Linked DNA regions of Callithrix jacchus. The protein of the gene in region 1 binds, or shares a complex with, the protein of each later gene. Links are inferred from orthologs where the notes say so. Each region holds a gene or a part of one and is shown on either strand. Other genes may lie near its edges.

Region 1 (4,557 bases):
AAACAACTTCAAGACTTAGTACTGAGTACCAGCTCGCAGAGACCCCCACCCAGGTAGCACTGAAGGAAGTGAGAGGCAGACACCCAGATAGAACAGCCAAGTGGGTGTATCCCGGGGGCCAGCAGCCTTCCAAACTGAGAGCCTCAGGACCTGACAACACCAGGCAGAAGGCCCCGGGTAAACGCTGACCCATGCATTTTATTCTCTCCGAACAGGTGATCATTATTAACAACAGGTGTTCGGTATTTTCTCATAACACAAAACACGCCAAGTAGTCAGCTGGTAGCCGCTTACTATTGATCACAAACAAAAAACATATTCTAAAAAGTATTCTCCACAAGGGAGCCATGGGGGCAGGGTCAGATAACTTAAAGAATTGTTTCCACAGGTGTATGACATTTATATATTGTCCTGCCACTTTGGAATGCCCCAAGTAGTTTTCTACTTGGGGGTGGGGGTGGCTAAGTTTTCCTTACTATCATTCTTCCTAGCAAACAACGTATTCTGTCACACACTCAGCATTCATCAGTATTAATAAACGTAATATTTCTCAACATTAATATTCCTAACTTAACGTTTCTCAACAACTTAGTCAAATGCAACTATTATATATGTGATAGTTAAAACTGATGATATATGTGGAAATATCTTAAAGCTACCAGACGTAAATGTGAAAACAAAATTCTATAACCATTTCAGAAACACCTGCGTGCAACTGTTGAGTAATATTCGTTAAGTCAAGACTGACATTTTCCCTCTCAAATGAAAAATCTCTTTCGGTTGGGTGCAGTGGCTCACACCTGTAATCCCAGTACTTTGGGAGGCCAACGAGGGCGCATCACGAGGTCGGGAGTTCGAGACCAGCTGGCCAATATGGTGAAACCCTGTCTCTACTAAAAAATACAAAAATTAGCTGGGTGTGGTGCCACGCGCCTGTAGTCCCAGCTACTCAGGAGGCTGAGGCAGGAGAATCGCTTGAACCTGGGAGGCGGAGGTTGCAGTGAGCCGAAATCACTCCAGCCTGGGCAACAAGAGCGAAACTCCGTCTCCAAAAATAAAAAAGGTGCCTCAGCATGAGGTGAATTTTTCTGAAGTAAAAGTTCCAGGTGAATGGTTTTAGAGTTTTCCCAGAGGCAGAATATAGTGTTCCTGGGGCGTAACCTGCAGGGTAAGTCCCTGGGAGTGTGCTGGGCCATGGGGGAAGGTCAGGGTGGGCATTTTTGGGAGGCTCTCGCGTGTTGGAGGCAGTCTAGGGACTGCGCCCCAAATGTGGGCGCCGGCAAATCGACGCGCCGGGCCTCGCTCGTAAGTGGCGCAGCTGGGCAGAGCCGGGGAAGGCCCGTTTCACACCTGGATTAAAATGGATCCGACAGGGTCGTGGTTGTCACTGTTCTGAGCCATGGCTAGGGCAGGGGGAACTGCTACCTCCGCGGAGGCGCGGTCTCCAAGCGCGGAAACCTTCAGCCCGGGGCTCTGATCCCCATGGCAACACCACGCGCGGCCTGGCCTGTTCCACGCTGGGAGCGGAAGGGGGGTTGGGGGCGGGGTCAGGCCAGCCTAGTCATTCCGAGAACGCCCTCCCCGGCGTGTCTCCCCCTCGCGCCGGCGGCCGTGGTACAGCCCAAGGCGGAAGCGGCTGCCTGAAGGAACCGGCTCGCGAATGCAGCAATGGCTGCGGGCGTACCCTGTGCGTTGGTCACTAGCTGCTCCTCCACCTTCTCTGGGGACCGGCTGGTCCAACGTGAGTAGATAGGCGCCTGGGCCGACCTTCAAGGCCCCTGAGCCTCGGCGGACGACGGCCCCAGCACCACGGCCTCTGTGGGCCTTGTCACCGCCGCGGGCCCTGTGCTCTTCCTCCACTCGGTCTAGGCGCCTAGTCTCCCCAGGTGGCTGCCCTTAGCTCTTAAATTCGTGCTTTTCTCCCCACCCGGCCCTTTTCCGCGTTCCTTTCGGCTTCTTGTGTAAAGTGAGACTGTTTCCCGTTCTGCCCTGCCCAGCCCAGACCACAGGTTTTTGCGAGGATCCGTTGAGATGAACCTGAAGGCTCTCTGGAAATTGCGCTAGGTTACAGGAGTGTAAGGTGCTGGAATTGTTGATATCGTGATGTTTATTGCTATCCTTGCTGCTCCAGTAGAGAGCGTTTCCTCTGAATTCTTGGCTCCATCTTAATGTGTACATTATAAGACTTGTTGGCTTTGTCCCCTCCACTTTAGTTATTCACGCCTTTCTTCTGAGGCGTGGGCTCTCTGCCAACATGAGTTTTTGAGTATGATTGGGCCTAGGGCCTTTGCTTATAGAACCTCATAATGGCTGTCGGACTTGGTAACTCTTTGAAGCGAGAACATGGGACTGGATCATAAGCCAACTCTACCACTTTAGTGGTGGAGCCCTTTAGGGCTTTGTGAAGTTGAATTATATGTAATTCAAGACTTCTGTTTAAAGTGTAAGGCTTAGAATCAGAGCAGTGACTTAGCTGTATGATCTTGAGCGAGTCAACTAACCTCTCTCTTTCCTTTTTTCTTTCTTTTCTCTTTTTTTTAAGAGACGGGATCTTGCTCTGTCGCCCAAACTGGAGTGCAGTGATGCAGTCATAGCTCACTTCAGCCTCGAACTCCAAGGCTCAAGTGATCTCCTGCTTCAGCCTCCCAAGTATCTGGGACTACAGGCTCACACCACGAAGCTTGGCTAATTTTTTTTGTAGAGCCAAGGTCTCGCTATGTTGCTCAGGCTGGTCTCCAACTCCTGGTTTCAAGCGAACCTCCCGTCTTGGGCTTTCAAAGTGCTGAGATTACAGGCATGAGCCACTGTGCCTACCTAGCTACCCTCCACTTTCTCTTTTTATTTACTCTCTCTCTCCCTCTTTTTTTTTTTTTAATACGGGGTCTCCTCTGCTACCCAGGCTGGAGTGCAATGGCGTTATCTCGGCTCACTACAACCTCTGCCTCCTGGGCTCAAGGCATCCTTCCACCTCAGCCTCCCAAATAGTTGGGACTACGGGCGGGTGCCATCACTCCCCATCATTCGGGATTTGGCCTAGTTGCCCAGACTGATCTATAACTTGTCGGCTCAAGTGATCTGCCTGCCTTGGCCCCCTCAAAGTGCTGGGATTTCAGGCGTGAGCACCGCGCCTGGCCCCTTCACTTTTTCTGTCTATAACATAGGACTAATTTTCTTAAGATTGTACTTAACCCAGGGTCTGGCACATAGTAAACATTTGATAAATGACAGACATTATTATTAAGGCATATTACTCTCTCTGTAACCTTCAATTACCTGAACCTTAAAATGGGGCATGTGAGCCAATTTCAGGAATATTTGAAGGACAGATGACCTGATATTTTGAATGCACTTTGTAAACTGTAAAGCATTGTGCAATTATAATTCCTTTGCTACACCTGTCAAATGACAATTAGGTAAGATATCCCTTCATTGCAAATATATGACTTCGTTATCATTTGTGATCACTTAGTTCCTTGCTAGGGTAAAAGCTTAATTATAGCTTTTAACTAAGTGGTAATCAGCTGGTCTAAATAGGCTATTTTCTTACCTTTAAGCAGCGTTCCTTCCCCTTCTCGCCCTCCTTTTCTTCCTTCATCCATCTTTCTGGGTTTCATTGTAAAACGAGTGCAGCTTAAAACAGCGTACAGAGAAAAGAAAACAGCCATAGTCTCCTTACCCAACTGCTAACATTTCTTTCCAGCCTTTGTTTCCAATGCAGTTTCTTAAAAAGAAATTGTAATCACATTTGATACGCAACTATTTTTGTTCTGTTTTTGATTTTTTAAATATACAGTTTTTATCCTGAGATTTATTAAAAATTAGTTTCTCACATGTATCCATCTAGTGCATAAACCAGGTTTGCTCAAGATTCTTAAAAATGTAACTAACTTTCCAAAAGACTTACATGCATTTGCATCTGGACTTCTATTAGCAATACATGAGAGTCTTTTCAGGATAATCTTAGAAAAAAGTTTTTTTGAGACATTGTCTTGCTGTGTTGCCCAGGCTGGAGTGCAATGGTGGGGTGTTGGCTCACTGCAACCTCCACCTCCCTGGTTCAAGCTATTCTTGTGCCTCAGCCTCCCGAGTAGCTGGGACTACACGTGCCTGCCACCACACCTGGCTAATTTTTCTATTTTTAGTAGAGATGGGGATTTCACCATATTGGCCAGGCTGGTCTCGAACTCTTGACCTCGTGATCACCTGCCTTGGCTTCCCAAAGTGCTGGGATTACAGGCATGAGCCACCGCGTCAGGCCCAGTCTCAGGAATATTAATTATTCTGTTGGCTCTGGTGTTCTGTTGTGTGCTTTAATGATCATAATCAGCAAACATGGTCACTACAAGTAGCTACTTACCTGTCATTAGCAAATAGTGACATTGTCCTTCTGTAAAGTGTATTAGCATTATTGAGGGTAAAATGAATTCTGTATAAAAACCCATTTTATCTCTGTATGTAAAATGCTCTTAGATAATTCCAATTTGGGTTAAAATTGGATGACCTTTCCATTGCAACTCATTACTGTCATGTAGTAAAAAATAAAGGAAGAACAGTTAG
Region 2 (3,810 bases), on another chromosome or scaffold:
AAAAAACCTCCTCCCTCTCTGCCTACCCCAACCCCCAGTAGATTTTATAAAACAGTTTTGTGAAATTTCCAAACCACTGATTTCTCAAATACTTTGTAAAGTTTTCTCCCTGTGGCATTTGGAGACAGCCAAATCAACATTGGAGAGTTTAAATGCATTTTTTGAGGTGAGACTCCTCTGGTAATGAATCCATTGGACTGCTAATAGGCACACGCAGCTGTTTGTGGCACCCACTCAAATAGATGTCTTCCTTCACATCCATTCACCAGAGGACTGATTCTCTGGCTGGGTGGAAGCAAGTAATCAGCCCAAAGATGCACTAAAACAGCTGCTGGGAATTCACAGGTAATGGTGTTTTGTTAACCTAATCACCCTCTTCCACATAGCAGAAAAAACAGTTTTAATGCCAGTTTTATTTATTTATTATGTTTTTTATTTTTCTTTATTTCTGAAATGGAGTCTCGAGTCTCGCTCTGTCACCCAGGTGGTGCAGTGGTGCGATCTCAGCTCACTGCAACCCGTGCCTCCTGGGTTCAAGTGGTTTTCCTGCCTCAGCCTCCCAAGTAGCTGGGATTACAGGTGTCCGCCACCATGCCTGGCTAATTTTTTTTTTTTTCAATAGAGACAAGGCTTCACCATGTTGGCCAGGTCTCTAACTCCTGGCCTCAAGTGAGCCGCCTGCCTCAGCCTCCAAAAGTGCTGGGATTATAGGAGTGAGTCACCGTGTCTGGCCAAATGCCACTTAAAAAAAAAAAAAAAAGTACTTTATAAGCTCTGGATCCTCTTGACCTACTGATTTGAAAATAGGAAGGTGGGAAGACCCACTGAGACCGTGGGAAGAGGATCTAGAGGTGGAGGAGCTGGGATGAAACCCAGGCCCTCAGAGCATCTCATCTGTGAGGGCAGAGGTCAGTGGGGTGAAGTGCTCTTTCTCACAGCGTCTTGGGAAGAATGGAGGGGCTAATAGGTAAATTCCCTGATGAGGTATGATGCAAATCTGTGCTGCTTCTAAAAGATCATTCCCACTTAATTTATATGGAAATCCCAGAGTCCAGAGCAATACCAAACGGATGCTTCAGGGCCCATTTATACGTTGGCAGGCAAGCCACGGTGTTCCCAATTCATTTATGCAAACAGGAGCACACGTACAGCCTTCTCAGAAGGTGTAAGAAATTTTAATTACAATGATAAATACCGTGCTCAATAATAAAGCTTTAATATCCCTGGCAAACAAAGTCACAATGTACTGCTATTCTCCTTTCCCAGGGCAGCACAGGTATTTTAATGAAAGTCTTTTTATATATCTCATAAAATTATTATTGGAAAGAATAGAACTAAGTATTTGATACCTTTTTGGCAGTGAGGTATCCTCGCACTCCAAAGCTCAGCCAAAGGTGAAGAGCAAAAACTCTTAAGCCCAGTTACCTGGGTTCAATCTCTATACCACACTTCCCAGCAGTGTGAAATTGAGCAGGTCATTTAACCTCTTGGTGTCTCAGTTTACTCATCTGTAAAGTGGGGGTAACAATACCACCCACCTTTTTGAATTGCTGTGAGAATTAAATAAGCTAATATATATACATAGTTTCGAAACTGTACCCAGCACAAAGTAACCAGTAAGCCTGGTTAATACCATAATTATTAACACTAACATCATCATCATCTTTCTCCCGTGGTTTGGGAAACTGTACTGACCTCTTGTAACATATCAGAGTCTTCAATGGCTTTGACAGCGATTTTCTTGGATGTTTCCTGAATTTCTCCACCTATTATAAACTCGTCCAGGATGAAATAAGCCTTTTCAAAATTAAAGATAATATCCAGCTCGCAGACCTGGTAGGACAAAAATAAATGTTTTGATAAACTTGCAGTTGTATCACGGGAAATATCTGCCCGAATCTCGAGCTTTTTCAGTTTGCACTCATGTGGCATACCAAAAATAAAAATATCAGACGGCATTTTAAGGACAGAAAAAAAGAATGGGGAATGCCAGGCCTTTAATAAAAGGAAGGCCGCATTCTATTAAAGCAAAGCATGTACTTAGATAATAGTGTTTTGTGTTGCAACAGGAAATTTGAGACTCGGTAAGGGAATGAGGCTACTCGGCTTTTCTTTCTATCTGCACCAAGAAAACTGAGCCCAGCTGCATCCCAGGCAGGAGGGCAGAGCTTCCTTTCTCCTGCTCTCCGCTCTGTACATCTTGGCTTCTAGCTTTAAAACTCTCTCAGAAACTCACTCTTCAGAGGAAAATGAGCTCAACTGTGCTAATTTTTCTCAAAATTATGTCACAGCCAGTGGTTCCCAAACTCATTCCAAAGGCTCATTAAAACACACAGGTGCTGGGCCCCCACCCCCAGAATTTATGACTCAGGAGGTCTAGATAAGAATTGAGAATCTGCACTTTTAACAGGCTCCCAGGTGATGCTGAGGCCTCTGGCCTGGGGGACTTCACATCAAGAACCCCTGGCACAGACTAAAGCAGAGTCTGATAGATTCTGGTGTTTATTTAAAGTGTAGCAAGAATGGCAAGATCTCTCCCAACATCCAAATAATGCTCATTTCCAAAACTCGCACCCTCTCCTTGCTGTCTTCCCTACTTATTCCTGTACTCACTGCCACCCTCTCTTTCTACACCATACCCCACCCACCCAACTGAAGCTGTTCTCTTGAAACTCTGCTCATTGAAAGTCTCCAGACCTCCCCAACGTTTACCTCTCAGTAGCATGTGGTACTCTTCACCAATCTCTGATCCTTGAAAATCTCCCTTGCTCTCCTGATTTTGGCAATACGGCGTAACGCCTCTTTTTCTCCTCTGTCTCTGATCATTCCTTCTCAGACTCCTTGGGTCATTTCTCTCCCTCCTACCCTGCATTTGTTTAAGAACTATTTTCCTGTGCCTAGTACATATCAGTCAACAGAACAGGCAAACATCTCTGCTGCATGTTGTTTATATTCTAGCCATCCATCTTCTCTTTGAATATTCATGTTCCTCAAGAAAGGCTTTTCTCTTTGCAAAATGCATATTCTCCTGGACAAACTCACTGACTCTCTAATGCTGTGTCTAGCATGCAGGTAGCTCAACAAACCTAGACGACTGGCCCTGATATCCCTCTGGGCCACTAGTCCAATATTTTCACCCACTGACTAGACACCTTCACATGCCTATTCCTCAATCCATGTCACCAAGTCCCAAACTGATATCAAGACCATTCTTTTTCCCTTAGACCCTATTTTGCTTAGTAGTTGTAACCTCTTTCTAATTTTCCATCTAATTCATTCTAGAGTTCAACCAACTTACCTTCCCTCCCCCGCTTATTGCTCTCCCCGCCTTGATCTCACCCCCGGGATGTGGTCATCAGTTCCTACTGATTCTGTTGTCTAAATAAATCCCTACCCTCCCTCTCTGCTCTGCTTTCACAGCTGCTACTTCGGCTTGCAACACCTCTCAGTCAGGTCACTGCAATGACCTTCCAGGTGGTGGCTGTTCCTGCTCAAAGCCATTGACCACTAATGCTTTGCTAAAATGCTGAACTTGGTCAGGTGTGTGGCTCACGACTGTAATGCCAGCACTTTGGAGGGCCGAGGCAAGTGGACCACCTGAGGTCAGGAGTTCGAGACCAGCCTGGCCAACATGGTGAAACCTCACCTCTACTAAAACTACAAAAAATTAGCTGGGCGTAGCGGTAGATCCCTGTAATCCCAGCTACTTAGGAGGCTGAGACAGGAGAATTGCTTGAACCCAGGAGGCAGAGGTTGCAGTGAGCCAAGATCACATCATTGCACTCCAGCATAGGTGACAGAGAGTCAAAA

The links.
Region 2: the proteins of AAGAB (region 1) and AP1S3 are in contact, whole or in part, in a crystal structure (PDB 9DDT), measured with the Homo sapiens proteins. The link is inferred for Callithrix jacchus from reciprocal best matches to the Homo sapiens genes AAGAB and AP1S3. Residues at the interface, in NP_078942.3 of Homo sapiens: Asn51, Lys52, Tyr53, Tyr54, Glu108, Val109, Met110, Ile111, Gln128, Ile132, Gly135, Phe136, Glu137, Asp151, Phe153, Pro154, Glu155, Arg161, Gln164, Ala165, Asn167, Ala168, Asn169, Val170, Met176; in NP_001034658.1 of Homo sapiens: Arg10, Gln11, Lys13, Arg15, Gln37, Leu40, Ser41, Arg61, Tyr62, Ala63, Ser64, His85, Val88, Asp92, Phe95, Val98, Glu100, Leu101, Asp102, Ile104, Phe105, Asn106.

The regions. Positions count from the first base shown.
Region 1 is NC_133509.1:14,307,598-14,312,154, reverse strand, and holds the start of AAGAB (alpha- and gamma-adaptin-binding protein p34), read left to right. Parts: upstream 1-1,634; 5' UTR 1,635-1,668; coding exon 1,669-1,741; exon of another isoform or gene 1,742-1,886; intron 1,887-4,557. Other genes in the region: IQCH (IQ domain-containing protein H), read right to left, coding at 1,351-1,401. UniProt on the Homo sapiens protein: May be involved in endocytic recycling of growth factor receptors such as EGFR.
Region 2 is NC_133507.1:145,503,769-145,507,578, forward strand, and holds part of AP1S3 (AP-1 complex subunit sigma-3), read right to left. Parts: intron 1,834-3,810; coding exon 1,696-1,833; intron 1-1,695. UniProt on the Homo sapiens protein: Subunit of clathrin-associated adaptor protein complex 1 that plays a role in protein sorting in the late-Golgi/trans-Golgi network (TGN) and/or endosomes.